Regions from separate parts of the Mus musculus genome. Here all the other regions are reported to be linked to region 2. Evidence: microRNA targets listed by miRTarBase, many of them from high-throughput screens and not tested one by one. Region 2 holds a microRNA gene; each other region holds the end of a gene's coding sequence.
Evidence for each region. Region 2 holds the annotated microRNA mmu-miR-669a-3-3p (ACAUAACAUACACACACAUGUAU, at 8,945-8,967, opposite strand). A microRNA usually pairs through its seed, bases 2 to 8, with sites in the 3' UTR of a target mRNA and lowers its output. Matches are read on the target gene's strand: a 7mer-m8 pairs with bases 2 to 8, a 7mer-A1 pairs with bases 2 to 7 and ends in A, and an 8mer does both.

Region 1 (9,726 bases), not on the chromosome of region 2:
CTAGTCATCTTGCTTATTATCAGGCTGTGCTTAGATTGTACGTTCCGAAAAAACCCAGGGATTTCTTTGAGTTCACTGCTAAATTCCCAGTGCCTAAAGTACTGCATTGTATTTGCTAGATGCTAGGCTCTCAGAGAGTGAGTGACTGCGTTGAGAGAAAGCCTTTTTAATATAAGGTATTATTTTCGACTTTAATTCTATATTCACGTGCAGGTGTTTCTTTTGTAGGAATTTTTAATCAGCTAAAATGAACAAACTGGCATCAAACCAACCAAATCCCTTGAATATATTCCAGTAGGAAATGCTTCAGTCAAGGAGGCAGTTATTGTTGGAAGGCAGTAGATGCATGCGTGAGTGAGAGGCAAACCTGTAGTATATGCCTGCAACCCCAACTATTCAGGAGGCTCAAGCTAACTTTGAATGTATATCTGTATCCAGTAATTCAATATGTAGATATTTGTCTTAATGAAAACATTTGTAAAGGATGTGCAGTTACATATACTAGGCGAGTTATAAATTGCTATTTATTTTATTGAAAAACTGGGATCTCCTTCTTGAATTTCTCTTACTTCCATACTACCTATTCTACTTTGTTGTGTTAGAGGACTGTCTGAACTGTTCATTTTGTTTAATGTTTTTTCTGTAGATAAATTTGTTTTTCTTTTAGTGTTATCCCTGATGCGATGGATGATACCAGGAAAAGGCTGGATTCCTGTTACATATAGCATTTTTATACAGTAGAAACATACAGAAACTGCTTAATATCTGTGTAATAACTAGAATCACTTTATGTATGATTGGTAGTTTTTTAAATAATGATGTAGCTTTGTTTTAACTTCAGGTGATTTTTTTTTTTCACACAAGAGAAAACAAGATAGAAAACTGTATTCTATGCACCTGCTTTTGGTACAAGCTATGTAATTTATATATAAAAATATGTTTAAATACTAGGATAGTTTATACTAAATTATAGTGAAATTAGCATGGGAATTCTGTCTATGATCAATTTTTAACTTTTAGTTTATTTATTTATTTATTCATTTATTTATTTATTTATTTATTTATTTATTTTTAGTCAAGGTCTCACTATGTAGCAGAGGAACTTGATATGTAGGTAAGGTGGGTCTCAAATTCAGAGTCGGATTGCCTCTGCCTCCTGATTGTGGAATTAAAAGTATGTGCCATGTGCAGCAAATTCTAATATCTTAAACTTTTAATACACATGCATTTTCTAATCATGAGATTAAAAAGAAAATAGGATTGTACATTATTCCATTATTATTTTAATCATAATTAGCTATCCAAAAGCTAATTAAAAGCTCTTATAAGCTAGAGGTAATATGGTATCATTTACGTTTTTAAAATATTTGTACTTTTGTTCCTTGTCTTCACTGGTATCTTGGTTTGTTATTTTTCTGCAACACTATTTTACTTGTTTAAAACAGGCCATTCAGAAGGGCAATACAGAAGTTGCAAGAATACATGCTGAAAATGCAATCCGTCAGAAAAACCAAGCAATCAATTTCTTGAGAATGAGTGCTAGGGTTGATGCTGTGGCAGCCAGAGTTCAAACTGCAGTAACAATGGGCAAGGTAAGACCAAACATCTGTCAATCAAAGTAATACTGACAGAGTTTAAGGAAAAGAAGAAGATTTACATAAGCCACAAGTCGGTGTCTTTTGCATGATATTATAGGATGTAAATAAAGGACTTCATAGAAAATTGGATTTAGTGAGGAAAAGTATTTTGTCAGTGAACTTTTCAACCATTTTTACTAAGGAAACATAAATAATATAAAATATTACCTATACCAAGATGCATAATGTAGTTTTACTGTGAAAGAAGTTATGGACAAGTTTCCTAAGTTGATATATTAGCAGTGTGCTTTGAAGATTAACAAGTTTACATGTTGCTCAATCGGTTTTGAATTCCACATAGGTGACAAAATCCATGGCAGGTGTAGTTAAATCTATGGATGCTACATTGAGGAGTATGAACCTTGAGAAGGTAAGCTCTAAAGAAGTACCATTCTCACTTGATGTTCCGCTAACATCTTTTCAGGATACATTTTTCTAACGACCATATCTTTATAGATTTCTGCCTTAATGGACAAATTTGAACATCAGTTTGAAACATTGGATGTTCAGACACAGCAAATGGAAGATACAATGAGTAGCACTACTACCCTTACGACACCACAGGTAAGAGTAACATCTTTACTTTCAGTGGTTTCTTAAAGCTGAATCGATCTGGCCATAGTGACACATGCTTGCCTATCATAGTACTTAGGAGCTGAGGCAAGATTTCTAAGAGGTTGAGACCAGCCTGTGCCATGGAGTAAATTCCAGGCCAGCCTGGGTTGCCTGGGCCAGCCTGGGAACCACTGTCGAAACACAAATCACCTACTTTTAAAATATAATGGTTTTATGAACATAAATCATCTCCTTACCTTGAGAAACATAGCCCAAGTGCAGGTGGTAAGCTTGCTACTGCTCTGCCCTCAGATAGTTAAGAATGTTTTAGAGGATAATGTTACCTAGCACCGAGTATGGTTTGGAATTCTGGTGATTCTATTAGATCACATATATAGAATCTAGAACCTGTTTCCACATGCTGGCTAATACTCTTATCTTAATAACACAATTTAATAGGTGCATAATATTGGGTAACATGATATTTTGATACATAGATTGTTTAATGTTTAACTCAGTGCCCACATATATACTTAAACATTTGATGTTTTTGCTCCAGTCTAGTCTAGAGTCTGCATATAACATACATACATCTCATACAATATTAATTGCCTTTTAATTACAAGGAATGCCTAGCACAATATAAATGCTGTAGTTCACTTTCTGAGTTGTTGAAATGCTAATAAGGAGAAAAGTCTTATATTATGGGTACAATTTCTTCTCTGATTGTTTATGTTTTGCAGTTGGCTAAGCCTACAGTTAAACCCGCATAGGGTTCTGTGCCATAGATACATAATATAAGTATATTTTGTCTGTTAATATTTTTGTCAAAAGTCAACATAATGCCAGATTTGTATTATTTTATAGAATAACTAATTAAGCTAATTTAAATCTATTACATACAACCAAACTGGGTTCTACTGGAGCTTTATAAGTTGGATCACTCCCATGCAGTATTACATTACTGAGATGTGAGTCTGACTGGCAGCATTGTTCAGACAACTTCAGTATTAGACTTTAAAGCTTAACATTCCCGAAAGAACAGAGACAGCTTGTCCTACCACTTTACAGTACTTGGAGCTAGGGAAGGAAGGGACCAGGAGCACACACTAGGCTGCCTGCATCAGCCCTTGAAGTACCACAGCTTAAATGTTCTAGGGCCGTCCCCTTCCACTGTCACTGTCGCCAGTGAGAAATGGTTTCCCTCAGTAAAGAAACTTATCAGACGTTTACATTTGCACATCTGCCTCAGCCACTAAGAGCCCTAGAGAAGCACATCTGCAACCTTTAACCTCTGACCCTCAGGAGAAATGTGATTTTAGCCCACAATTATGAGGGAACGATAGACTAGAAAAGGTTCTTGGGGAAACAGGCCAAGACAGGGCCTGGTCAATTAATTATTATCAAGTTAGAGTGAAAGACAGTAAACTGCTTTTCTTCAGTTTTTGTCTTCTCTCTTCTCTTTGATGTTTTGCTATTTCCTTGTGGCTTAGAATATAAAATAATTTGTTAATATTTGTTTTGAACAAATATTTTTCCCATAAAAATAAAATAAAATAAAGCGTAACATTCAAGTTGCTGTCTGAAATCGTGTAGCGCCCCCTTGTGGCGAAAATATTTTTTTCTGTTTTTTTTTTAATTAGGTATTTATTTCATTTACATTTCCAATGCTCTCCCAAAAGTCCCCCACACGCTCCCCCATCCACTCCCCCACCCACCCATTCCCACTTCTTGGCCCTGTCGTTCCCCTGTACTGAGGCAGATAAAGTTTGCACGACTAATGGGCCTCTAAAATATTTTTAAAGGATTGTTTTAAAAGTTTTGAAGGGCAAGAAGTTTGTGTGTGTGTGTGTATGTGTTGTTTGTTTTATTTTACAAAAGTTTTATTATTTTACTTTTGATTATGTGGGAGTGAGGGAACTGTGTACTAGTGATAACATGTTCCTGTAGAGGACAGAGGCTTTATCTCCCTCAGGTTTTGGAGTTAAAGGCAATTGTGAGCCTCTAGACATGGTTACTATAGCCCCTATTTTAAACGTTAAAAATAAGTTTCCCAAGCAAAACCAAACCCAAAAGCCATCCAACAACTAATACTACAAAACTATGAATTCATGTTTTCTTATTTTAGAACCAAGTGGATATGCTGCTCCAGGAAATGGCAGATGAAGCTGGGTAAGGTCCTTTCACTCAAATCCTTTTAAATAATCTGCATTTGACATTTAGAGGTCTTACATGTTGATAATATGAAGTTAGTATTTTGCTCAGAGTTTCTGCCTAGTATATGTGAAGCCCTGGACTGAAAAGGTATACGTCCTTCTAAAAATTTGCTATGGAGTGAAAAATTTGTCTTTAAACCCATTCATCCAGCTTGGAGTTTTGACATTTTATAGAGATACTGTTTCAAGGTCTTTTAACAGTTACCCCCCCTTTTCTAGCCACACACACACACACACACACACACACACACACACAAATGTGAATTTTCAAACCATAATGACATCAACTCCAGCAAGCCTCTGGAGCTAGATTCAGTCAGCGGTTGATGTTATGAAATACTTGGAGATGGTCCAGAGGTAAGGCCATAGCACCATTTCTCCCAGTTGTGACAGCTATATATGTGTTTAGATATTGCTAGCTGTTTCTTGGGAAAATGAGACCAGTATTGAGAAATTAATTAATCAGTAACTGAAGCAAGAGAAGCAGGTAGAACAACTGATACAGAAACATTAATTTCCAGTATTAAGGACTTTTAGATATCTAGTTGCTTGAGTTAACAATTCTCATAATGAAATTTTAGTATAGGGTATGTTTGCCTTTCAAAAAAAATCTGCCAATAGCATCCCTTAATGCCATTTAAAATTACTGTTTTATTTGTATAGTTTTCCTGTTAGAATACATTATTTTCGAGACAAATAGAAAAATAGTTTATATCCTAGAAGAATAGTACAATAGAGATTAAGGTCATGAAGCTTACAGGTAAACAAACAACAGCCCTAGATCTACACATGTGCTATCTCATTCACTGGGGTGATAGGAACTTGGGACACCTGCATTAATTCTTTAAAAAAAAACCCACAGGGTTGTAGATCCCTTTATCTCCTTGGGTACTTTCTCTAGCTCCTCCATTGGGGGCCCTGTGATCCATCCAATAGTTGACTGTGAGCATCCACTTCTGTGTTTGCTAGGCCCCAGCCTAGTCTCACAAGAGACAGCTATATCACGGTCCTTGCAACAAATGCTTGCTAGTGCATGCAATGGTGTCAGCATTTGGAAGCTCATTATGGGATGGATCCCTGGATATGGCAGTCTCTTGATGGTCCATCCTTTTGTCTCAGCTCCAAACTTTGTCTCTGTAACTCCGTCCATGGGTCATTATTTCCAATTCTAAGAAGGGGCAAAGTGTCCACACTTTGGTCTTCGTTCTTCTTCAGTTTCATGTGTTTTGCAAATTGTACCTTATATCTCGCTATACTAAGTTTCTGGGCTAATGTCCACTTATCAGTACCCCGGAGCTCTTGACTCTAGCTGCATATGTATCAAAAGATGGCCTAGGCGGCCATCACTGGAAAGAGAGGCCCATTGGACAGGCAAACTTTATATGCCCCAGTACAGGGGAACGCCAGGGCCAAAAAGGGGGAATGGGTGGGTAGGGGAATGGGGGGTTGGGGGACTTTTGGGATAGCATTGGAAATGTAATTGAGGAAAATACGTAATAAAAATAAATAAATAATATGCAGAAACAGAAAAAAAAAACATTGTGTAGTTGGATGAAATCCTTGGTTCTTCAAGGTCCCCTGAATCAACTGAGCAAGGCTCATATGAGCTCACAAAGGGTGAAGCAGCAAGCATAAGACCTACGCAGTCTGCACCAGGTCCTGAGGATATATGTTTCAGCTTTCAGCTTAGTATTGTTATAGGACTTTCGAGTGAATAAAAAAGCGGGTCTCTGATACTTCTGCCTGATCTTGTGGCTCCTTTCCTTCTGCTGGGTTGCCTTGTCCAACCTCCATGTGATGGTTCATGCTTCACTTTACTATAGATTATTTGGTTATATTTACTTTTTAAGTCTTAGAAGCCGATTATTTTCTAATGAGAGACAGAAAGGGAGTAGATCCAGAGAGGGGAGAAAAGGTGGGGAAGAACTCGGAGGGAAAACTATAATCAAGATATACTGTAAGAAAGAGGAATCTATTTTCGATAAACGGAAAATTATGCTTTGGATTTAAAAATAATGAAACTAAATAAAAAATAAATAGAATGAAAAAAATCTAAATTTTTTTCATCAAAAAAGAGAAATTATTGGTTCTACTAAGAGAATTCAGGAACGGAACACTGAACTAATCTGGCTCCTAAAGCTTCTGTAGCTCAAGGAAAGTACTTAAAACCACCAGTCACATGTTCAAAATGATTCTGAAGACATTCAAGTTCTATTTACATGTAAACATGCTTTGATTTGTACTTAAAATAAAAGGTTATAGTGCTCTCGTTTACAGTGCCTATATGATCATTGTAAAATGTCTATATTAACATTCTTTGATTCTGATTATTTTTAATTTTGTCTTTATTCAGCCTCGATCTCAATATGGAACTACCACAGGGTCAGACAGGGTCTGTTGGTGCAAGTGTTGCTTCTACAGAGCAGGTAGAGATCGAATTTTATTTTAATTCATGTACCTGATTTATATTTAAATTAAAATTTAGAAAATGTATATTTATATGCAATATATTTGCATACAAGAAAACATATTCACATTTTTATGAAGAATATTTTTCTACCATGATACATCATTATAAATGAAGAAAATATGAGAAACCATTAGCTCTGTAATGGTGGGCATTTTCAATTTGCATGCACATTTCATTTCTTACATTGTTTTGCTAACCTTCATACTGCTCTAAATGCAGTTTCTTTTGAGATATTTAAAAAACTAATTGCCTAACATTTATATAAATTTCATAAGCTTTTAAATTCTATTTACAATGGAAGAGGATTAAAATTTTGTGGCTAATATTTGTTACAGCCTTTGATAATTTGTAAATTTGGCTTCCCCTAGGATGAACTGTCACAGAGGCTTGCTCGTCTTCGTGATCAAGTGTAACTTAAATAACTGGTGCTTCTGTTCCTCCACATATTTCTGAGCCATCATTTGTGTGTGTGTCTATAGATAAGGTGTATTCCAGTTACAAAAACATCATACATGACAGGATGTTTGGACATCATTTCTATAAGATGCTTTCTTTTGCCTTGTGTATTTCACAGTGCATTGCGAAATTCCAAGGAATTTCCACATTGGCAGATTTTATAGTTCTATATATTGTGTGTAAAAGTGTGAGGGACATATTTTTCTAGATGTCTTTGGCAAAGCTAGCATTAGTTTTCTGTATATTATACATCTTCCGCAAATATTAGAGCAAACATCTAGCACCAAAGTAATGCTAAGTAAAGTAATTTTGTCAGAATAATGTATAAAGGCTTTGTTTTTACTTATTGAAAGTAACTTTCAATTATTGTCTGTGATGAATTTTGATTTTGTAAAAATAAAAACAGGAAAGCATGTTCATTTAATATGTTCGCATAACCCAGACCATCTTATTTTAAGTATCACAAGATAGACTATACAATTTCCATGGGATTTTTGAAAATTATTTCTATTTTGTATGTATGGTTGTTTTGCCTGCATGTTAAATTGTGTACTCACTTGTGTGTCTGGTGCCTACAGAGGCCAGAAGAGGACATTGGATTCCCCAGGAACTAGAGCTATAGACAATTGGGAGCCAACATGTGGATACTAGAATTCAAACCCATTTCTTCTAGAAGACCAGCCAGTGCTCTTAACTCCTGAGCCATGTGTCTAGCCTCTGTTTTGTTTCGTTGCTGTTGTTGTTTTGCTTGTTTATTTTAGAGACAGGGCAGAAATATATAGCCCAGAGTTCCCTGAAACTCAGTGAGCCTCCAGCATTGGTCTCTAAGTATATACCACCATACCCAGCTCATTTTCTATGATTTGGGGGTGGGGGTTGTTATGCACATTAGTTATTTTTTCTGTTTCTATGATAAATAACCGTGCTCAAAAGTGACTTATGGAAGAAAGAAAGTATTTTGGTTTATGGTTCCAGGGAAATGAGGGCTCCATCATGGTGGGGAGGTGTGGCAGCAAGAGCAGGTAGCTGGTACATGTTTAATGACACACACAAAGCAGAAAGAACAGGCTGCCAGTGTAACAGACCTAGAAGCTCTCAAAGCCAGTGACATACTTCATTTAGTAAGGTTGCATATCTCCATACCTTCTCCATAAGGCACCACCAACTGGGAAACAATTATTCAAGTACATGAGTCTATGGAAAAATGTCTCGTTCAGACCACTGCATTCCTCTCCCTGGCTTCCATAGACTTATGGCCATATCATAATGCAAAATGTATTTACTCTGATGCTTAAAGTGCCCATGGTCTTTCTCAATCTCAATACTATTTGAAATTTCAAAGTCCAGCATATCTTGTGAGACTCGAGACAATCTCTAGCCACTGATAAGATCTAAAAGCAAATAATATACTTCCAACATACGATGGCACAGGTTACACATTATCATTTTAGAAGGGAGGAAGGGGGACATGATGAGGAAATACTGGACTACAGAGAGACTGAAAGCTCACAAGGCATACATATAAGCAAATCCTGTAGCTCTATGTGGGATGTCTGGGACTACTTTCCGAGGGTTTGGATGGCTTAACTCCTCCAGCTTTGCTGCCTGATTTAATAGCTCACTCTCTAGTAACATCTTCTACGTTAGTTACTTCTCTGTTGCTGCGATTAAGCACCATGACCAGAAGCAATTTATAAATAGAAGAGTTTATTTTGGCTTACAGTTCCAGAGGGATAAGAAAGTGTGCACCATGGCAGGGATGCATGGTAGCAGGATCAGGAAGCCAAGAAATCATGCTTTCTATTATGCTGTACACATGACGCAGAAAGAGCCAGCTGGAAGTGTGGCAAGACACTCCCAATGCCTGTTGCTGGTGGAATAATTCCTCCAACAGAGTTTGTACAATGACCTGTACCATAACCTTCCCAACTGGTGAACAAAGTTTCAAATATGTGAGCCTATAGGAGACTCATTCAATTCAGAACATTATGTAAAGAGAAACAGAGTAAATATTTACTTGGTTTTAATCCACTGTAAAGTTTAAATCATTATAGTTTTTAGCCAGTAATTTAATGATGACTGTTCATTAATTTTTAAGACCTTTTAATGGACAATTTATTATATAACTAGGAAAATTCTGCAACATTAATCCAAAGTTTGTATTGGGATACCCTAGATATCCATAGAAGAGATTTGATGGACAAAAGTATTTATGACATAAAGAATGTGTTCTCTGTTGGTATGAATTAAATAGTTTCTGTTCTTTTAACTTGAATAAAAAATTGTTAGATTTATTACTACCACTTAGCTCCACAACTAGCTGTTCATTCTTTTATGTTGCAACCATGTCAGACTTACCTTTTAAAATATTACTATCAGGGCTGTAAAGTTA
Region 2 (10,735 bases):
CTGTGTGTGTGAATACATTTGTATGTGTGTGTATTTATATGTATGATCATATACACACATGTACGTGCACACACAATTATATGCACTTGTGCATACCTAGGATCCATCACACAAATACAGGGTGATCTCTAACTCATTATGAAGTTAAGCATGAATTTGAACTCCTGAGACTCCTAACTCTGGCAAGTGGTTTTCATCTGATAAGTGAGATTATTCCCTATACCATGAATATACACTCAATGAAATTATAAGCACGTATAAATCAAATGGATGACTGCCATGTGTGTTTGTGTGCACATGTATGTGTCCCTAGTTGTGTGGGTGTGTATACATATATATATATATATATATATATGCATGTTCATATACGCGCATGTACAGGCATACTTCCCTATACACATAAACACAAACACAGGGAAAATCACATGAATTCCGGGCTGATCTCTAACTCATCATAAAGTTAAACATGAATTTGAACTACTCATCCTCATGATGCTGGCAAGAGTATTCACCTCCTAACTGTGTCATAGCTCAGGCCATTCGAGGGAGTATGTTTGCATGTGAGTATATGCATATTCATATACAGAAGTGAATATGTACACAACTATACACACATGCACATTCTGGTGGGCATCACATGAATCGCATACTGAACTCTAACTCATCATGAAGTTAAACATAAATTTGAATTCCTCATCCTCCTGACACTGGCAAGAGTACTCACCTCCTAACTGAGACATAGCTCTGGCCATTCCTATGAATGTGTGTGCATGTGTGTATATGCATATTCATATAGAGAAGTGAATATGCACACAACTATACACACATGCAAATTTTTGGTGGGCATAAGATGAATCCCATGCTGGTCATGAACTCATCATGAAATTCAGCACAAATTTGAACTCCTGATCAACCTGACTCTGTGAAGGGACTTCACCTGCTGAGTGAGACCTCTCCCCATTCAGTACTGAGGAATCTTAAAACTCTAAGTCACACGTCATTCAAATGGATCGATGAGTTGCACTGATGTTTGTGTGTGTGTTTCTGTTTGTGTCTGTGTACATGTATATATTTGTGTAGATAGGTACATCCATATACTCAAATCCACACACAATAGAAACAGATACAGATAGAGATACATAGGGGGCATCACATGAATCCCAGGCATATCTTAAAGTCATCATGAAGTAAAGCATGAATTTGAACTCCTGATCCACAATCTGTCACACCTGGTGAGTAAAACCATTCACTGTCCCAAACTGCATAATCTAAAACTTTAAGTCACATATCATTCAAACGTATAAATGAATGCAATTTTTTTCTCTGTGTCTGTACTTGCATATACACGTGTGTTTATATTTTGAATATCATGTCAACAGAGGCAATGCATATACAAGTAAACACACATGCACATACATGGGTGGCCTCATATGAATACCAGGATGACCTCTAACTGAATTAAGCATGAATTTGCAATCCTTATCCTCCTGACTTTGTCAATCTTTTACACCTGGTGGGTGAGGTCATTCAATGTCCCCTATTGCATAATCTCTAAAACTCTACATCACTTATCATTCTAAGGGATTGGCGAATGCCATTCCTGTGTCTGTGTATGTGTGCTTGCGTTTATACGTGTGTGTGTATGTTATGTATATTCAAATATAGACATGAACATGCACACACAACTATACACACATGCACATACATGGAGGAATCACAGGCTGATCTCTCATGAGGATAAGTGTAAATTTGAACTCCTGATACTCTTAACTCTAGCAAGCATTTTCACTCTAAGTCACTTATCACTCAAATGGATTGATGAGTGCCATTCCCCTGTGTCTGTGTGCTCATATGTGTCTTATGTGTGCGTGTATGTATATGTATATCATATTCACATATGTACATGCACACACACATCAACACATATACACATACATAGGGGCAATCACATGAATGCCAGGATGACCTCTAACTCATCATGCCTTTACCATGAACTTGCACTCCTGATCTTCCTGACTCTATCAAGGGTTTTCCCGTGGTTTGTGAGACCTCACCCTGGCCCAGTCATACATAACCTCCAAAGCAGTAGGTCACATATCATTCAAATGGATCCGTGAGGGACATTCCCGCATGTCTGTGTGCATGTGTGTGTTGGTGTGTGTATGTATATGCATAAAATATACACGCATATACATGCAGGCACTTACGCACACGGGCACATACAAAGGGGCCATCACATTATTCCAGGATGATCTCTAACTGCTCATGAAGTTAAGCATGAAATTGAACTCCTGATCCTCCTGACACTGCCAATTGTTTACACCTGGTGAGTGAGACCTTCACTATCCCTCTACTTTATAATCAGCAAAATTCTAAGACATATATCATTCAAATGGATCAATGAGTGTCATTCTTATGTGTGTGAGTGTGCATGCCTGTGTGTGTGAATACATTTTATATGTGTGTGTATTTATATGTATGATCATATACACACATGTACGTGCACACACAATTATATGCACTTTTGCATACCTAGGATCCATCACACAAATACAGGGTGATCTCTAACTCATTATGAAGTTAAGCATGAATTTGAACTCCTGAGACTCCTAACTCTGGCAAGTGGTTTTCATTTGATAAGTGAGATTTTTCCCTATACCATGAATATACACTCAATGAAACTCAAAGCACGCATAAATCAAATGGATGACTGCCATGTGTGTTTGTGTGCACATGTATGTGTCCCTAGTTGTGTGTGTGTGTGTGTATACATATATACATATATATACATATATATATATGCATGTTCATATACGCGCATGTACAGGCATACTTCCCTATACACATAAACACAAACACAGGGAAAATCACATGAATTCCGGGCTGATCTCTAACTCATCATAAAGTTAAACATGAATTTGAACTACTCATCCTCATGATGCTGGCAAGAGTATTCACCTCCTAACTGAGTCATAGCTCGGGCCATTCGTGGGAATATGTTTGCATGTGAGTATATGCATATTCATATACAGAAGTGAATATATACACAACTATACACACATGCACATTCTTGGTGGGCATCACATGAATCGCATACTGAACTCTAACTCATCATGAAGTTAAACATAAATTTGAATTCCTCATCCTCCTGACACTGGCAAGAGTACTCACCTCCTAACTGAGACATAGCTCTGGCCATTCCTATGAATGTGTGTGCATGTGTGTATATGCATATTCATATAGAGAAGTGAATATGCACACAACTATACACACATGCAAATTTTTGATGGGCATAAGATGAATCCCATGCTGGTCATGAACTCATCATGAAATTCAGCACAAATTTGAACTCCTGATCCACCTGACTCTGTCAAGGGATTTCACCTGCTGAGTGAGACCTCTCCCCATTCAGTACTGAGGAATCTTAAAACTCTAAGTCACACGTCATTCAAATGGATCGATGAGTTGCACTGATGTTTGTGTGTGTGTTTCTGTTTGTGTCTGTGTACATGTATATATTTGTGTAGATAGGTACATCCATATACTCAAATCCACACACAATAGAAACAGATACAGATAGGGATACATAGGGGCATCACATGAATCCCAGGCATATCTTAAAGTCATCATGAAGTAAAGCATGAATTTGAACTCCTGATCCACAATCTTTCACACCTGGTGAGTAAAACCATTCACTGTCCCAAACTGCATAATCTAAAACTTTAAGTCACATATCATTCAAACGTATAAATGAATGCAATTTTTTTCTCTGTGTCTGTACTTGCATATACACGTGTGTTTATATTTTGTATATCATGTCAACAGAGGCAATGCATATACAAGTAAACACACATGCACATACATGGGTGGCCTCACATGAATACCAGGATGATCTCTAACTGAATTAAGCATGAATTTGCAATCCTTATCCTCCTGACTTTGTCAATCTTTTACACCTGGTGGGTGAGACCATTCAATGTCCCCTATTGCATAATCGCTAAAACTCTACATCACTTATCATTCAAAGGGATTGGCGAATGCCATTCCTGTGTCTGTGTATGTGTGCTTGCGTTTATACGTGTGTGTGTATGTTATGTATATTCAAATATAGACATGAACATGCACACACAACTATACACACATGCACATACATGGAGGAATCACAGGCTGATCTCTCATGAGGATAAGTATGAATTTGAACTCCTGATACCCTTAACTCTAGCAAGCATTTTCACTCTAAGTCACTTATCACTCAAATGGATTGATGAGTGCCATTCCCATGTGTCTGTGTGCTCATATGTGTCTTATGTGTGCGTGTATGTATATGTATATCATATTCACATATGTACATGTACACACACATCAACACATACACACATACATAGGGGCAATCACATGAATGCCAGGATGACCTCTAACACATCATGCCTTTACCATGAACTTGCACTCCTGATCTTCCCGACTCTACCAAGGGTTTCCCGTGGTTTGTGAGACCTCACCCTGGCCCAGTCATACATAACCTCCAAAGCAGTAGGTCACATATCATTCAAATGGATCCGTGAGTGCCATTCCCGCATGTCTGTGTGCATGTGTGTGTAGGTGTGTGTATGTATATGCATAAAATATACACGCATATACATGCAGGCACTTACGCACACAGGCACATACATAGGGGCCATCACATTATTCCAGGATGATCTCTAACTGCTCATGAAGTTAAGCATAAAATTGAACTCCTGATCTTCCTGACACTGCCAATTGTTTACACCTGGTGAGAGAGAATATTCACTGTCCCTCTACTTTATAATCAGCAAAATTCTAAGACATATATCATTCAAATGGATCAATGAGTGTCATTCTTATGTGTGTGAGTGTGCATGCCTGTATGTGTGAATACATTTGTATGTGTGTGTATTTACAGGGATGATCATATATACACATGTACGTGCACACACAATTATATGCAAATGTACATAACTAGGGTCGATCCCACAAATCCAGGGTGATCTCTAACTCATCATGAAGTTAAGCATGAATTTGACCTCCTGAGACTCCTAACTCTGGCAAACAGTTTTCATTTGATAAGTGAGATTTTTCCCTATACCATGAATATAAACTCAATGAAACTCTAAGCACGTATAAATCAAATGGATGACTGCCATGTGTGTTTGTGTGCACATGTATGTGTCCCTAGTTGTGTGTGTGTGTATATATATATATATGTATGTATATATATATATATATATATATATATATGCATGTTCATATACGTGCATGTACAGGCATACTTCCCTATACACATAAACACAAACACAGGGAAAATCTCATGAATTCCGGGCTGATCTCTAACTCATCAAAAAGTTAAACATGAATTTGAACTGCTCATCCTCATGATGCTGGCAAGAGTATTCACCTCCTAACTGAGTCATAGCTCGGGCCATTCGTGGGAGTATGTTTGCATGTGAGTATATGCATATTCATATACAAAAGTGAATATGTACACAACTATACACACATGCACATTCTTGGTGGACATCACATGAATCGCATGCTGAACTCTAACTCATCATGAAGTTAAACATGATTTTGAACTCCTCATCCTCCTGACACTGGCAAGAGTGCTCACCTCCTAACTGAGACATAGCTCTGGCCATTCCTATGAATGTGTGTGCATGTGTGTATATGCATATTCATATAGAGAAGTGAATATGCACACAACTATACACACATGCACATTTTTGGTGGGCATAAGATGAATCCCATGCTGGTCATGAACTCATCATGAAATTCAGCACGAATTTGAACTCCTGATCCAACTGACTCTGTCAAGGGATTTCACCTGCTGAGTGAGACCTCTCCCCATTCAGTACTGAGGAATCTTAAAACTCTAAGTCACACGTCATTCAAATGGATCGATGAGTTGCACTGATGTTTGTGTGTGTGTTTCTGTTTGTGTCTGTGTACATGTATATATTTGTGTAGATAGGTACATCCATATACTCAAATCCACACACAATAGAAACAGATACAGATAGGGATACATAGGGGGCATCACATGAATCCCAGGCATATCTCTAAGTCATCATGTAGTAAAGCATGCATTTGAACTCCTGATCCACAATCTTTCACACCTGGTGAGTAAAACCATTCACTGTCCCACTACTGCATAATCTTGAAAACTTTAAGTCACATATCATTCAAACGTATAAATGAATGCAATTTTTCCTGTGTGTGTGTGCTTGCAGATACACGTGTGTTTATGTTATGTATATCATGTCAACACATACAATGCACATACAAGTAAGCACACATGCACATAAATGGGTTGCATGACATTAATACCAAGATGTCTCCAAATGAAGTTAAGCATGAATTTGCAATCCTTATCCTCCTGACTTTGTCAATCTTTTACACCTGGTGAGTGAGGCCATTCAATGCCCCCTATTGCATAATCTCTAAAACTCTACATCACTTATCATTCAAAGGGATTGGCGAATGCCATTCCTGTGTCTGTGTATGTGTGCTTGCGTTTATACGTGTGTGTGTATGTTATGTATATTCAAATATAGACATGAACATGCACACACAACTATACACACATGCACATACATGGAGGAATCACAAGCTGATCTCTCATGAGGATAAGTATGAATTTGAACTCCTGATACTCTTAACTCTAGCAAGCATTTTCACTCTAAGTCACTTATCACTCAAATGGATTGATGAGTGCCATTCCCATGTGTCTGTGTGCTCATATGTGTCTTATGTGTGCGTGTATGTATATGTATATCATATTCACATATGTACATGTACACACACATCAACACATACACACATACATAGGGGCAATCACATGAATGCCAGGATGACCTCTAACTCATCATGCCTTTACCACGAACTTGCACTCCTGATCTTCCCGACTCTACCAAGGGTTTCCTGTGGTTTGTGAGACCTCACCCTGGCCCAGTCATACATAACCTCCAAAGCAGTAGGTCACATATCATTCAAATGGACCGTGAGGGCTATTCCCGCATGTCTGTGTGCATGTGTGTGTAGGTGTGTGTATGTATATGCATAAAATATACACGCATATACATGCAGGCACTTACGCACACAGGCACGTACATAGGGGCCATCACATTATTCCAGGATGATCTCTAACTGCTCATGAAGTTAAGCATGAAATTGAACTCCTGATCCTCCTGACACTGACAATTGTTTACACCTGGTGAGTGAGAATATTCACTGTCCCTCTACTTTATAATCAGCAAAATTTTAAGACATATATCATTCAAATGGATCAATGAGTGTCATTCTTATGTGTGTGAGTGTGCATGCCTGTGTGTGTGAATACATTTGTATGTGTGTGTATTTATATGTATGATCATATATACACATGTACGTGCACACACAATATATGGGCATGTACATACCTAGGGTCCATCCCACAAATCCAGGGTGATCTCTAATTCATCATGAAGTTAAGCATGAATTTGAACTCCTGAGACTCCTAACTCTGGCAAGCAGTTTTCATCTGATAAATGAGATGTTTCCCTATACCATGAATATACACTCAATGAAACTCTAAGCACGTATAAATCAAATGGATGACTGCCATGTGTGTTTGTGTGCACATGTATGTGTCCCTAGGTGTGTTTATATATATGCATGTTCATATACCCGCATGTACAGGCACACTTCCCTTTACACATAAACGCATACACAGGGAAAATAACATGAATTCCGGGCTGATCTCTAACTCACCAAAAAGTTAAACATGAATTTGAACTGCTCATCCTCATGATGCTGGCAAGAGTATTCACCTCCTAACTGAGTCATAGCTCGGATCATTCGTGGGAGTATGTTTGCATGTGAGTATATGCATATTTATGTACAGAAGTAAATATGTACACAACTATACACACATGCAAAATCTTGGTGGGTATCACATGAATCGCATGCTGAACTCTAACACATCAAGAAGTTAAACATGAATTTGAACTCCTCATCTTCCTAGCTCTGGCAAGAGTGCTCACCTCCTAACTGAGATATAGCTCTGGCCATTCCTATGAATGTGTTTGCATGCGTGTATATGCATATTCATATAGAGAAGTGAATATGCACACAACTATACACACATGCACATTTTTGGTGGGCATAAGATGAATCCCATGCTGGTCATGAACTCATCATGAAATTCAGCACAAATTTGAACTCCTGATCCAACTGACTCTGTCAAGGGATTTCTCCTGCTGAGTGAGACCTCTCCCCATTCAGTACTGAGGAATCTTAAAACTCTAAGTCACACGTCATTCAAATGGATCGATGAGTTGCACTGATGTTTGTGTGTGTGTTTCTGTTTGTGTCTGTGTACATGTATATATTTGTGTAGATAGGTACAGCCATATACTCAAATCCACACACAATAGAAACAGATACAGATAGGGATACATAGGGGGCATCACATGAATCCCAGGCATATCTCTAAGTCATCATGAAGTAAAGCATGAATTTGAACTCCTGATCCACAGTCTTTCACACCTGGTGAGTAAAACCATTCACTGTCCCACTACTGCATAATCTTGAAAACTTTAAGTCACATATCATTCAAATGTATAAATGAATGCAATTTTTCCTGTGTGTATGTGCTTGCATATACACGTGTGTTTTTGTTATGTATATTCATGTCAACACATGCAATGCACATACAAGTAAGCACACATGCACATACATGGGTGGCATCACATGAATACCAAGATAATCTCCAAATGAAGTTAAGCATGAAGTTGCAATCCTTATCCTCCTGACTTTGTCAATCTTTTACACCTGGTGAGTGAGTCCATTCAATGTCCCCTATTGCATAATCTCTAAAACTCTACATCACTTATCATTCAAAGGGATTGGCGAATGCCATTCCTGTGTCTGTGTATGTGTGCTTGCGTTTATACATGTGTGTGTATGTTATGTATATTCAAATATAGACATGAACATGCACACACAACTATACACACATGCACATACATGGAGGAATCACAGGCTGATCTCTCATGAGGATAAGTATGAATTTGAACTCCTGATACTCTTAACTCTAGCAAGCATTTTCACTCTAAGTCACTTATCACTCAAATGGATTGATGAGTGCCATTCCCATGTGTCTGTGTGCTCATATGTGTCTTATGTGTGCGTGTATGTATATGTATATCATATTCACACATGTACATGTACACACACATCAACACATACACACATTCATAGGGGCAATCACATGAATGCCAGGATGACCTCTAACTCATCATGCCTTTACCATGAACTTGCACTCCTGATCTTCCCGACTCTACCAAGGGTTTTCCCGTGGTTTGTGAGACCTCACCCTGGCCCAGTCATACATAACCTCCAAAGCAGTAGGTCACATATCATTCAAATGGATCCGTGAGGGCCATTCTCGCATGTCTGTGTGCATGTGTGTATAGGTGTGTGTATGTATATGCATAAAATATACACACATATACATGCACGCACTTATGCACAAAGGCACATGCATAGGGGCCATCACATTATTCCAGGATGATCTCTAACTGCTCATGAAGTTAAGCATGAATTTGCACTCCTGAGACTCCTAACTCTGGCAAGCAGTTTTCATCTGGTAAGTGAGATGTTTTGCTATCCCATGAATATACACTCAATGAAACTCTAAGCATGCATAAATCAAATGGATGACTACCATGTGTGTTTGTGTGCACATGTATGTGTCCATATGTGTGTGTATATGTGTATGTATGTATGTATATATATATATATATATACACATATATATATATATATATATATGCATGTTCATATACCCACATTTACATGCACACGTACCTATACACATATACACATACACGGGGACAATCACAGAAATTCCAGGCTGTTCTCTAACTCATCATGAAGTTAAACATGAATTTGAACTCCATATTCTCCTCCCTCTGGCAACAATATTCACCTCCTAACTGAGACATAGTTCTGGCCATTCCTGTGAGTATGTGTGCATACAGCTATGTGCATATTCATGTAGAGAAGTGAATATGCACACAGCTATACACACATGCACATTCTTGGAGGGCATCACATGAATCGCATGCTGATCTCTACTCATCATGAATTAAATATGATTTTGAACTCCTCATCCTCCTGACTCTGGCAAGAGTACTCACCTCCTAACTGAGCCATAGCTCTGGCCCAGTACTGCATAAGCTCTAAAGCTCTAAGTCACATACCATTCAAAAGGATATATGAGTGGCATTCCTGTGCGTGCATGCGTGTATATGCATATTCATATAGAGAAGTGAATATGCACACAACTATACACACATGCACATTCTTGATGGACATCACATGAGTCGCATGCTGAACTCTAACTCATCATGAAGTTAAACATGAATTTGTACTCCAGGACCACCTGACTCTGGCAAGGGATTTCACCTGCTGAGTGAGACCTCTCCCTATTCAGTACTGCAGAATCTTAAAACTCTTAGTCACACGTCATTCAAATGGATCGATGAGTTGCATTCATGTTTGTGTGTCTGTGTACATGTCTATGCGTGTGTAGATATGTATATTCATATACACAATCCACACACAGGTACACGCATGTACACATACATGGGGGCATCACATGAATCCCAGGCAGATTTCTAAGTCATCATGAAATAAAGCATGAATTTGACCTCCTGACCTCCTGATTCTAACAAGC
Region 3 (10,735 bases), not on the chromosome of region 2:
AGGGAGTTACTGCTGCTTTAGTAGACTATAAAGGATTGATTTCTGTTGGAATGCACTGTGTGAAGGTTGCCTTATATTATTCAACTGTTAATACTGTGCCAGCAGAGGATGAGTACTGGCTGGGTTTTGAGGACAGAATTTATAGAATGAAAAAGGGGGGAAAGAAAGGGAAGGAGGAAGGGAGAGAGAGAGAGAGAGAGAGAGAGAGAGAGAGAGAGAGAGAGTTATTAGAACGGTTTACAGGCTGTGGTCCAGCTAATCCAACAATGGCTGTCCATGAGTGGAAGCTCCCAGAATCAAGTAGTTGTTCAGTTCATGAGACTGGGACATCTCAGCTGGTCTTTAGTATACACGGGAATCCTGAAGAAGTAGGCTATAATGCCACTGAAGGAATAGACTTGTCTGCAAGAACAAGCAGCAAAGAGAGAGCAAGCTTCCTTATTCCATATCCTTTATATAGGCTAGCACCAGAATGTATGGCCTGGACTAAAGGTATATCTTTCCTCCTTAAAAGATCAGGATTAAAAGTGAATCTTACCACTTCAAAAGATTTAATTGAGAAAAAATTCCTCCGCAGGTGTACCGATCTGTTTGGGTTTTATTTGATACCAGATGTAGTCAAGTTAACAAGCAAGAATAGCCATCACAGGTGTATTTTCTATCTGTTTGCTCTCTCTTAAAGAATCCAGGTACTGTAATATATATTTTTTATAATTTTCCCCACATCATTAATTTCCAGTTTTCCAGCCCACAGATCTCCTTTTTATCTTATCACAATACTTCTCTCTAAATTCTTTCTCCAGTAGACTATTCCATTTCAACTTAAATTGCTTTAAATTCATTATGGAGAAAAGTAAAATTGCTTGTGTCTCCCAGGTTACCTTCATTTCTGTCAACATTCTTAGCTCACTAACAATATACTTCCCATCTTCATAGCCAGAAACCACTGTGTCTTTATTACAAACCCCCAATCATCTGTGTAGTATTTTTTCTCTTTTATGTGGATTTGTTTGCATACCAAATTCTTCCTAGGATCATCATAATCCCGTTCCTTAAAATGTAATATGCACATGTGCATGGTGTGTGAGGGGTGGATATGCCAAAGCCTATGCAGGTCAGGAAACAGCTCCAGGGAGGTGATGCCCTCCTCCACCTGTGGAAGCACATCACCTGCTGAGCCACCTTGTCAGCCCAGAGGCTTTGTTTGTTTTTGTTTTTATGGCACTGAATCTTTGTCTCCACTTGGTATCAGTGATGCTTCCTTAGGCAATGACTTTGGAAGTATTCTCTCTTCTAATTTATGGAAGAATTCAAGATGGTTTTTATTTTTTATCTATTTTTGATCCATTGAATTGACAGTTGTCTACATTTGTCTTATTTAATTCCCAGGAATTGCTCAAATAAACTCAAATAAACCCCAGGTTCTTAATCCTTCATCATGACTTTTTCAAGGCCTCTTTGTTTTTAAGCAATATTGTTAATGACCCCGAACATCAGAATTTGTCACACAGACACCCCTATGAGTCCTAAACCATTCACAGTTCATCAGAAGAAAAGCACTGCCTGCAATGACTTTATTAGTATCAATAAAACATTATGACCACTAAGCTGTGCTCAGATTTTGGTTAAATATGAGTAGGTGACAAAGAAAACCCTTTAAGCAGCTGAACTTAGTGAAAATTGCTTTAGGTCTCCTTGGCCAGCCATTTTGTCCAGGCTGGCATTGTCTGGCATCGTTCCCCACACCCAGCCCAGGTGTGGTTTTTTTGTTTTGAACTTTTTTTCAGAGAAGAGTGGATTGTAGATTGTGATGGTTTGAATATGATTTGCCCATGGGAAGTGACACTATTAGGATGTTTGACCATGTTGGGAAAAATCATCACCGTAGGAGTGGGTTTTGAGGTCCTATGCTCAAGTTCCACCCCAGTGTGGATGGGAGTCCCCTCCTGGATGCCTGAAGAAGACAGTCTCTTCCTGGCTGCCTTTGGATCAAGAGATAGAACTCTCAACATTTCCAGTACCATGTCTGCCTGCACACTGCCTTGTTTCCTACCATGATGATAATGGACTAAACCTCTAAAACTGTAAGCCAGCTCCTGTTGTGGAAAATATTAAAAAAGAAAAAAAAAATAGATCCCGTACATTCCCACACTTGTGTTTCTGTACCAGAGGTCTGGCTGGACATGCACTGGCAGGCAATGGCTGACCTGTTTTTATCTCATGAAGATTCTGACTCAGAACTCCACAGTCTTTCCACCCAGCTTGCTGTGGGGAGTGGGTGTGATGGTAGTCCCAAGATGGCACCCAGGACTGCATCCAAGTCTTATGACTTGCACCTGACTTCCTCATACACCCGAAAATAAGCCACATCCATCTTGAGAGCTGTGCAGGCACACTATGATGCAAGATCAGGCCATTTAACAAAGGCCAATGAACTGAGATTACTCGGGCTGGGCTGATGGGGCGTGGTTGAGAGGTTATATAGGGGATTGCGATTGGGGGCTAGTGAGAGATTCCTGCTTGCATGTTGAAAGGTTCCTGAATAAACTACTTTGAGAAGAACGCTGTGTCGTCGCTCTTTTCTGCTGGTCGGAGACAGAAGAGACAGCTTGCTAGGTACCTGCTGACATACATCATTACCACCTCAACCCCTTGCTTCAAATCTCCCATGGCGTTTATAGTGCACATCTGGCAAACCCATCCTTTGCCACTGTACCTTTTTCTCTCTTGAATCCAGACAAGCCGCCATGTGAAGGAAAACACAAAGTAATTTCATAAACAATGGTAACTCAATCTCTGGATGCAACAACTAAAACCTAATCTTGTAAGCCTTATTAAAATCTGATTCCCCTAGTGTCCAAACCTTGCAGATCTGCCATGGTACCAGAAAACTCTAGCAGCTACATCATACCCATATGCTATTCCCATTCCAAAAGGGCTGTAACTCTCTCCTGCTTCCCCTCTTCCAACCTAGAAGTCCTGCCTACCTGCCCAGTGATTGGCTCCTTTATTCATTAGGAGATTGGTCCACAAGAAGTCATTTGAGAATGACTCACTTCTTGTCCACAACCCCTCCCAGGAAAGCAGAATTAACATACAAACAGGACCAGGCCCATTCACAACAAGCCCCAATGAACTGCTTTCCTTTATAAGAGCTAGCTTGATCATGGTATGTCTTCAAAACAATGAAACCCCAACTAAGACACAGATCACTGACATAAAAGAAAACAATGTAAAACAATTAGAACAACTTAAAAGTGCTACCCCACTCACCATTGGAGTTGCCACCCTGGGCTGATAGTCCTAATGATAAAGGAGGCTGAACATGCTCTGAGAAGCAATCCAGTAAGCAGTACTCCTTTACAACCTCTTACCTCTAAGTTCCTGCCTTCAGTTCCTGCCTTGCCCTCCCTGGAGGATGAACTCTAAGCTACAAGATGAAATAAACCCTTCCTCATCTCCAAGTTGATTTTAGTCATGGTGTCTTATCAGCAATAGAACCTAGCTAACACAGTTTGCAATGGCAGACAGGTCTCTTGGAAAAAGTCAAACTGATGTACACTACCTTCTGGAATGCTTTCCCAACAAGCATTCTGAAGCAGACTCTGTGAGAAGCTGAGCAAGGGATCCAGCAACAATATCTGCTACTGGGCAAGAATGGGGTGTGGAGGCATTTGTTGAAATACAGCCGAAATTCTTGACTAAGACATTTGTGAATTAGCATTCTGAATATAAAATAAAATACCACTTTCACTTTCATTCATCTTTAGTTTTTAATAGCAAATAAGAGAAATAAAATATTGTTAACAGTTATGACTCATGTTAACAAAAATCTGTGCTCTATAGGAAATTCTTTGTGAATTCAATATCAAGGTTCAATGCCATATGTCTTAAATTCATTGTTCATAAAGGAGCATAGAAATCTTATGTCACTTTTTCAAATAACACTGTGAAATAGACTCAGCTATTGTTTTAAATTGTGTTAATTTGCACATATGAATGTATTTTTATATAATACATATTTGAATTAGACACATGTACATGATAAACATGTCAGACCTCAATGCTGCACTCTTGTGTTCAGTGGAAGCCACCATTAATTTTCTTATAGGTTAAAAAAAAGTCTATTCATATACAAATATATGGGGATAAACACATATATATGTACACAGAGTACAGGGACACACATACACACTCTGTCCACAATGAGAACATACTATATAGATGGTTTAACAATCCATTTTCTATACTTAACAATATAACAAGTATCACTCACTATCAACACATTTTCAGCTGTTTTCCACTTTTTTATGAACCTCTTAACAAAATCTAGACAAAACCCCTTAAAGTTTTCTACTGAAGTCTTTAAATCTAGCACTTGGGAGGCAGAGACAGACATATCTCTGTGAGTTCAAGGTCAGCCTGGTCTACATAACAAGTTCAAGGCCAGCCTGGTACACGTAACAAGTTCCAGGCTAGCCAGGACTATATGGTGAGATATTGTCTCAAACAAAACAAAACAACTCCCGAAAGTTTTCTACTAATTCAGAAGCTAACAGAGACATTAACAAAGAAAGCTAGACAATACCAGAGGATACCCTCACCCTCACTTGTATTTTACACAAGGCGGTAAGTATGCAATAAGAATAAATACAAATTAAATACTAACTGTGGAGCTTAAGCACACACCTAGAAAGTTCATGAAGTGTCATATTTTACTGTTTGTTGCTCTAATTCGTTAACATTTTCACAACTGTGTGTGTGTCTGTGTGTGTGTGTCTGTGTGTGTGTGTGTGTGTATCTGTGTGTGTCTGTGTGTGTGTCTGTGTGTGTGTCTGTGTGTCTGTGTGTGTCTGTGTGTGTACATGTGTCAACCTTGAGTACTGTTTCTCAGGAACCCTCTACCCTATTTTTAAAACAGTTCTTTTTTCTTGTGACCTATGGCTTGCAAATTAAATAAGTCTGGTTGGTCAGGAGTTCTCAGGACTCTCCTGTCTCAACTTTCCCAATTGTGAGATTGCAAGAGCATGCCCCCACATCTAGCTTTTTATCAATCCTTAGGGATGGAATTCAGATCTCTGTACTTGCTTAACAAGCACTTTACTGATTATGATATCTCCTTATTCACTCTTTTAAAAGATTCGTATTTTAATCTAAATATGGAGACAATTTATAATAAGTGTAAAAATACAGTATTTTCTGTTTAGGTTTGGGATCAAGGTTAAATTTTATTACCATCTTATGTAAAGATCCATATTCAAATTCTCTCATGTATCACCAGGAATGATTTCCTAAAAAAAGATATTCTAACATCATCAAATTGAGAACATCTTTAAGGTTAAATAATACCAAACCAGTCAGTTGTCAGGTTTCCTACATTAATCTTCTTCCTCAGATTGTTCTTCTGAGTGAATTTTCATATGTTTGGTAAGAGAGGCATTTTGCTTGAAGGCTTTACCACATTCAATACATTCATAGGGTTTCTCTCCAGTGTGGGATCTCTGATGAATAACAAGTTGTGATTTTGCATTGAAGGCTTTTCCACACTCATAACATTCAAAGGGTTTCTCCCCTGTATGAGTTCTCTGGTGTACGATGAGGTGTGACTTCTGACTAAAGGCTTTCCCACATTCAACACACTCATAGGGTTTCTCCCCTGTGTGAACTCTCTGGTGTTGGGTAAGGCCTTCAATCTGTTTAAAGGCCTTACCACATTGATTACATTCAAAGGGGCAGTCACCTGTATGAGTTCTCATATGGTAGGTAAGAGATGAGCTATGTCCAAAGGCTTTCCCACACTCATCACATTTATAAGGTTTCTCCTTTGTATGAGTTCTTTGATGTATAACTAGGTGTGACTTTTTGCTAAAAGTTTTCCCACATTCATTACATTCAAATGGTTTCTCCCCTGTATGAATCCGCATATGTTTAGTCAGGGATGAGCCATACTTGAAAGCTTTGCCACATTCGTTACATTCGTATGGTATTTCACCTGTGTGTGTTCTCACATGTTCAGTAAGAGATGAATTATATCTAAAGGATTTGCCACATTCCTTACATTCATACGGCTTCTCACCCGTGTGAGATCTTAGGTGTTGCATAAGGTTTGAGCTGTGTCTAAACGTTTTGCCACATTCATTACATTTGTAGGGCTTTTCTCCAGTATGGATTCTTAGATGGTCAGTGAGGGCATGTTTATGTCCGTGTGCTTTGCCACACTGTTCACACTCGTATGGTTTTTCCCCAGTGTGAGTTCTCTGATGTACAACAAGGTGGGACTTCTGGCTGAAAGCTATCCCACATTCATTACATTCATATGGTTTCTCCCCAGTGTGAGTTCTTTGATGGTCAAGGAGTCCCTGTTTATGGCTGAGGACCTTCCCACAGTGGTTACATTCATAAGGTTTCCCAGAACCTGGGGCTTTTTCAGGTTTAGATGGAGTACGGCAGTGTGATTTCCGTTTCTCCCCGGTCTGAATTTTGTCTTCCTTGGTATGGGATGCACTATGACGGCATACTTTCTCACATTTTTTGCTGGTTTGGTTTTTGTCACCTTTATCAGACAACTTATTGTTGGGTAACTTGTCGCATTTCTTTCTAGTTGGAATTTCATCTTTGTTCACATCAGATGCAGAATGGCTGAGTGATTTCCTGTGGTCATTAGCTGTGTCAGGTTTCTTTTTCAGAGAGTCTGAATTCTGATTCGAGTTCTTCCCACGGGAACTGGACTTAAGCAGTTTTTTCTCGGAAGGAGTGTGTTTTGAGTGGAGACTTTTGTTCTCCAACAAACCATACTCACTGCTTTTCTTGCTGTTGGAACTTTTCTTCCTGAGTGTCACTTCCTTAGTAAGTTTGCTTTGGGACTTCTGCTTTTCCTCCCTATGCTCATCATCTTGTTGGAGTTCTAAAACAGAATTAGAGACATTCTTGTGAGTTTCTGCACTCCCACTCAAGTACTTTATACGTTTCTTAAAGAGATGCCCTCCTTGTCTGGGGTTGAAAACTTACTCAACCCTAACTAGCAATGTAAAATAAGCAACAAGAACAAATGTCACTATCCACTTGGACCTGATGGGAAGAAAGCGATAGTAAAACCAGGGGAAAGACCACTGAAGTAGTCATTAGGAAATGAGTTGGTTGCTTAGAAATAAGATTTTGTAACCTTGGATAGAAGGTAAATAGACACAAGGAATACTGAACAGGCAATGCATTAAATTAAAAAAAAATTTGTGATTATGCCAGGTGCGGTGGCACATGCCTATTAATCCCAGTACTCAGGAGGCTGAAACAAGATACTCTTTCATATGTTTGAGATCAGTCTGGGCTACATAACAAGGCATTACTAGTCTTCCCATTGTGATTAAGATGATATGATGTAAGTACTACAAAAGCCATACTTATCCTATGTAGTGAAAACCTCTTCAATACAAAGAATAAAACACCCACACACAGAAAGAAGCAGAAATGTAGGACTATTTGTTCTCAAGAGCATAGTGTGCATAACTCCAATGCCCTTGTGACTTCCAGGTTGCCAGTTTTTGTTCCTGGTGGAGTTTGGCTAAAGTCTCTTCCCTTGGCTTATAAGAAGGGTACTCATGAGCTCTTCGATAAACCCCTCTCTTTTTACTAAGGCTCGCTAAAATAAACTAAAACAGAGAATACATCTACCAAGGAGAACTGAGGAACTAGTGGGTGACTGTGGCTCTAAGCAGGGGAGGCTGTTCCTCCCTCTCTTCCACAAGCAACATAACAAGGACATTCTTACTAAACAATAGATGACTCTGTAGTTCCTCTAAGTTCCCTAACTATTTTACAAAGTCATGAAACTCCTAGCAATTAGCTTGGGAAATGCTTTACACCATCTGCATTTACAGTGAGCATTTACCTGTTTTTCCAGTGACCTGTGGAGTACATGCCTTTGATCCTGTCACCATTCCAATACTTGATGGCCAAGTCCAAGTTTATTTATGGCTCTAAGTACTTGCTTATGTTCTTTTCCCTACACATTGCACAACTATACATCTTAAAACATTGATCTTCTCTAAGACTACTCAGTAATAGCTCTCTGCATAGAAATAAAATAGGGAAATCATCTGACTTAAGAATTTTAAACATTTAAAGAGAGAAACAGATGAAAGAGTGAATAGCCACCTCAGTGATAAAATAATTTTATATGGAGAAAATAAGGGTATCTGAATGGATGAATGAAATTCTCTCCTTTATGGAGGACATTTAAGAGACCGTGATTTGGGGTAGGCTATTGTGGCACACATCTTTAATCCCAGCACTCACAAGGCAGAGGCAGGCAGATCTCTATGAGTTCCAGACCAGTCGGAGCTACATAATAGAAATTCATGTTAGAAAAATAAGAGAGAGACAGAGTGACAGAGATGCAGACAGACAGAAACAGACACAGAAAGGACAGAGACAGGAGACACATATACAGACAGAGAGAAACACTCAGAGGCAGACGAGGGGTGGAAATTAGATATAGTAGGGTAAGGGGGAGTCCAGAAAAGCTGAACTGTTAGCTGCTATTTCATCCAAGGACTCAAGAGATTCAGCACCCTGTGATAAAGAGATAAACAGGGCCCTCCAGGTAGCACAGCACACAAAGTCTTCTGATACGCAGTGATGATGGGGAAGACAGGGACAAATTTCCTTCTCAAAGTGGTCAAGGCTTACACTTATTCTCTTGACATGTAAGATTAAAACAATCTTTGCCTGTGTGTATACATGTTCACTTGTATATGTGTGCACATATTTGTAGCAGAATTTTCCGTGTCCAATCACTTTAATTATTAATACAACAAAAAGCCTGTGATTGAACATGGAAAAGGGAGGTGGAGTGAAGAGTTGCAGAGATGGAGCCAGAGGAGATAGGTAGGGAGAGGAAGAAAGATGGAGCAGGAAGAAGACAATCTAGATTCTGTATGGCTTTAAATAGCTACAGGAAGCTATGAATATAATAAGATGATAGAATAATTGGGATAACTTGTCTAATCTAGGTGGGCAGCTTGTTCATTATCAATTGGCTCATTATCAACTATTGTGTGGCCATCTTGTGAATTGATAATGTATTGACATATAAATCTGACTGGTTAATTATATGCTTCTAGAGTTTTGTTTTACTGGGTTAATGGGTATTGTGATATGCCCTTCCCCAAGCTTTGAGCGGGCTGAATCAGACCTTGTCTACCACAGGATAGCCAACCTAGGGTGGAGTCTTCTGACCTTAGGTAAAATCTACTGTCCTGCCACATCTGCAGCTTCCTGCAAGAAGCCACTACCTGCTGAGCAGCTGAGCTTGTCTTCCTGACCAGCTCCTGACAAGGTGGGGAATGGGTTTCCACCCTTTAAAAATTCAGACTCAAGAATTAAAGTTGAGCCTTGATCAGAAAACTTTGTCTTTGCTCATTATTTCTTTCCTTTCAGGAACCCAGTAACCTGTGGTCACTAGTGGATACAAGTGCACCTGAACAAGGGACCTGAATACAGAAAAAATAACTGAGGGACACTGTCTTGGTGGAGCTCCACAGAAAACAGAAGAAAATGGTATCCTGCATGGTAAACAACATACAGGATTAATGTTAGCGATACAAATTTGATCTTTGGAAGGCTGTTGATTGCAAAGGTACAAAAAGGATACAGGCTAGACTGAGTCAGCGTCAGCCCAATGCTAATATCAGCTAAGGGTTGACAGTGGAAAATGGGACTGGAAGATTCTAAACAGGCATTTGTCCACAGTCAAGAACTGCATCCGGCAAGAGTAGTAGGGCTTAGAATAAAATAAAATAAAATAAAATAAAATAAAATAAAATAGTAAAAAAACAAACAACAACAAAAGGAAGATGCTAGATATACAAATGACATAAGAGAGAGATCAAGAGAGAAGAAAAATGGATTTCTTCTCTCCCAGAGCTCTCCCAGAGACAGAAGGAAATCAAGAGACGTCCTGCTTTCTATCTGGCCCATACAGGAGACATCCTTAGTTCTGGCTACATCAAGTTCTCTACCCTCTCTGTATTGTCTGTCCTTAGTGCACCAATCTGTCCACGTGTCAGTTTGTGTCTGTTTTTGTTGCATTGTCTGAATGACTGTTGTTCTGTTTCATGTTGAAAAGAAAAAAGTGGTTAAATCTTTATCTGCTGGCTCTCCATCCTTGATTCAGTCTGTTTGCATAGAGGAGGCTGGTTTAAGTTGCCCCCCATCCTTAGCCAGGAGTCAAGCACAGCAGAAGAGGCCATGCTGAAAAGCTGCTTTTAAAGGGGTCAGCAGCTTCTTATGTTCTAAGGCAAATAAGCTGATAGCTATTTTTTTTTCCTAGAAAAAAATCTCTGCAGTTGTGGTTATTGGGTTCAGCAAATGACAATGTACTTTTTCTCTTGAAATTATAGCTAGAAAAAAGTAAAAATTCTTTGTTAGGTCTAAATTTATAAGATTCATGTAGCTGCATCATTTGGTTTTTGACTGGTCTTAAAGGTATAAATATACTCTGCATGTCTTGGTCATAGAATATTGGCTTATAAGTTATTGGGTATGATTTTAAAAGTGTTACATTATTAACAAGAAAGTTAGCTTGAAACTGGTAACTCAGGGTTGGAGTCATTTTAAACAATAACACATGGCATGAACCCCCAGGAAACTGTCAAGCATTCATATATAAAAATTGGCAGCCAAACGTTACAATATGAAAGTAATGCTTTTGGTATTGATTTTAAAGAGAATGGATTGT

Region 1: the mRNA of 2610002M06Rik is a reported target of mmu-miR-669a-3-3p. Seed matches in the 3' UTR shown: 7mer-m8 at 8,212-8,218.
Region 3: the mRNA of Zfp37 is a reported target of mmu-miR-669a-3-3p. Seed matches in the 3' UTR shown: 7mer-m8 at 4,431-4,437.

The regions. Positions count from the first base shown.
Region 1 is chrX:107,785,374-107,795,099 of GRCm38, reverse strand. It overlaps 2610002M06Rik (RIKEN cDNA 2610002M06 gene), which reads left to right. Exons shown (of 8, transcript NM_025921.3): 3 at 1,446-1,592; 4 at 1,939-2,007; 5 at 2,094-2,201; 6 at 4,321-4,364; 7 at 6,762-6,834; 8 at 7,247-9,726. The coding sequence ends at 7,291. It also overlaps a transcript of Tent5d not described here. Among named protein-coding and RNA genes, the nearest start is that of 2610002M06Rik, 26 kb to the left of the region's middle.
Region 2 is chr2:10,472,728-10,483,462 of GRCm38, reverse strand. Mir669a-3 (microRNA 669a-3) reads right to left here and starts at 9,030; the gene lies at 8,922-9,030. All of the region lies in intron 10 of Sfmbt2 (Scm-like with four mbt domains 2), which reads right to left. It overlaps Mir467c (microRNA 467c), which reads right to left and starts at 9,532; the gene lies at 9,436-9,532. Mir466b-1 (microRNA 466b-1) reads right to left here and starts at 9,244; the gene lies at 9,163-9,244. It also overlaps Mir669k, Mir467a-1, Mir466b-8, Mir669a-1, Mir669g and Mir669j, and 6 more genes.
Region 3 is chr4:62,185,786-62,196,520 of GRCm38, forward strand. It overlaps Zfp37 (zinc finger protein 37), which reads right to left. Exons shown (of 4, transcript NM_001290351.1): 4 at 3,752-6,904. The coding sequence ends at 5,379. Among named protein-coding and RNA genes, the nearest start is that of Zfp37, 17 kb to the right of the region's middle.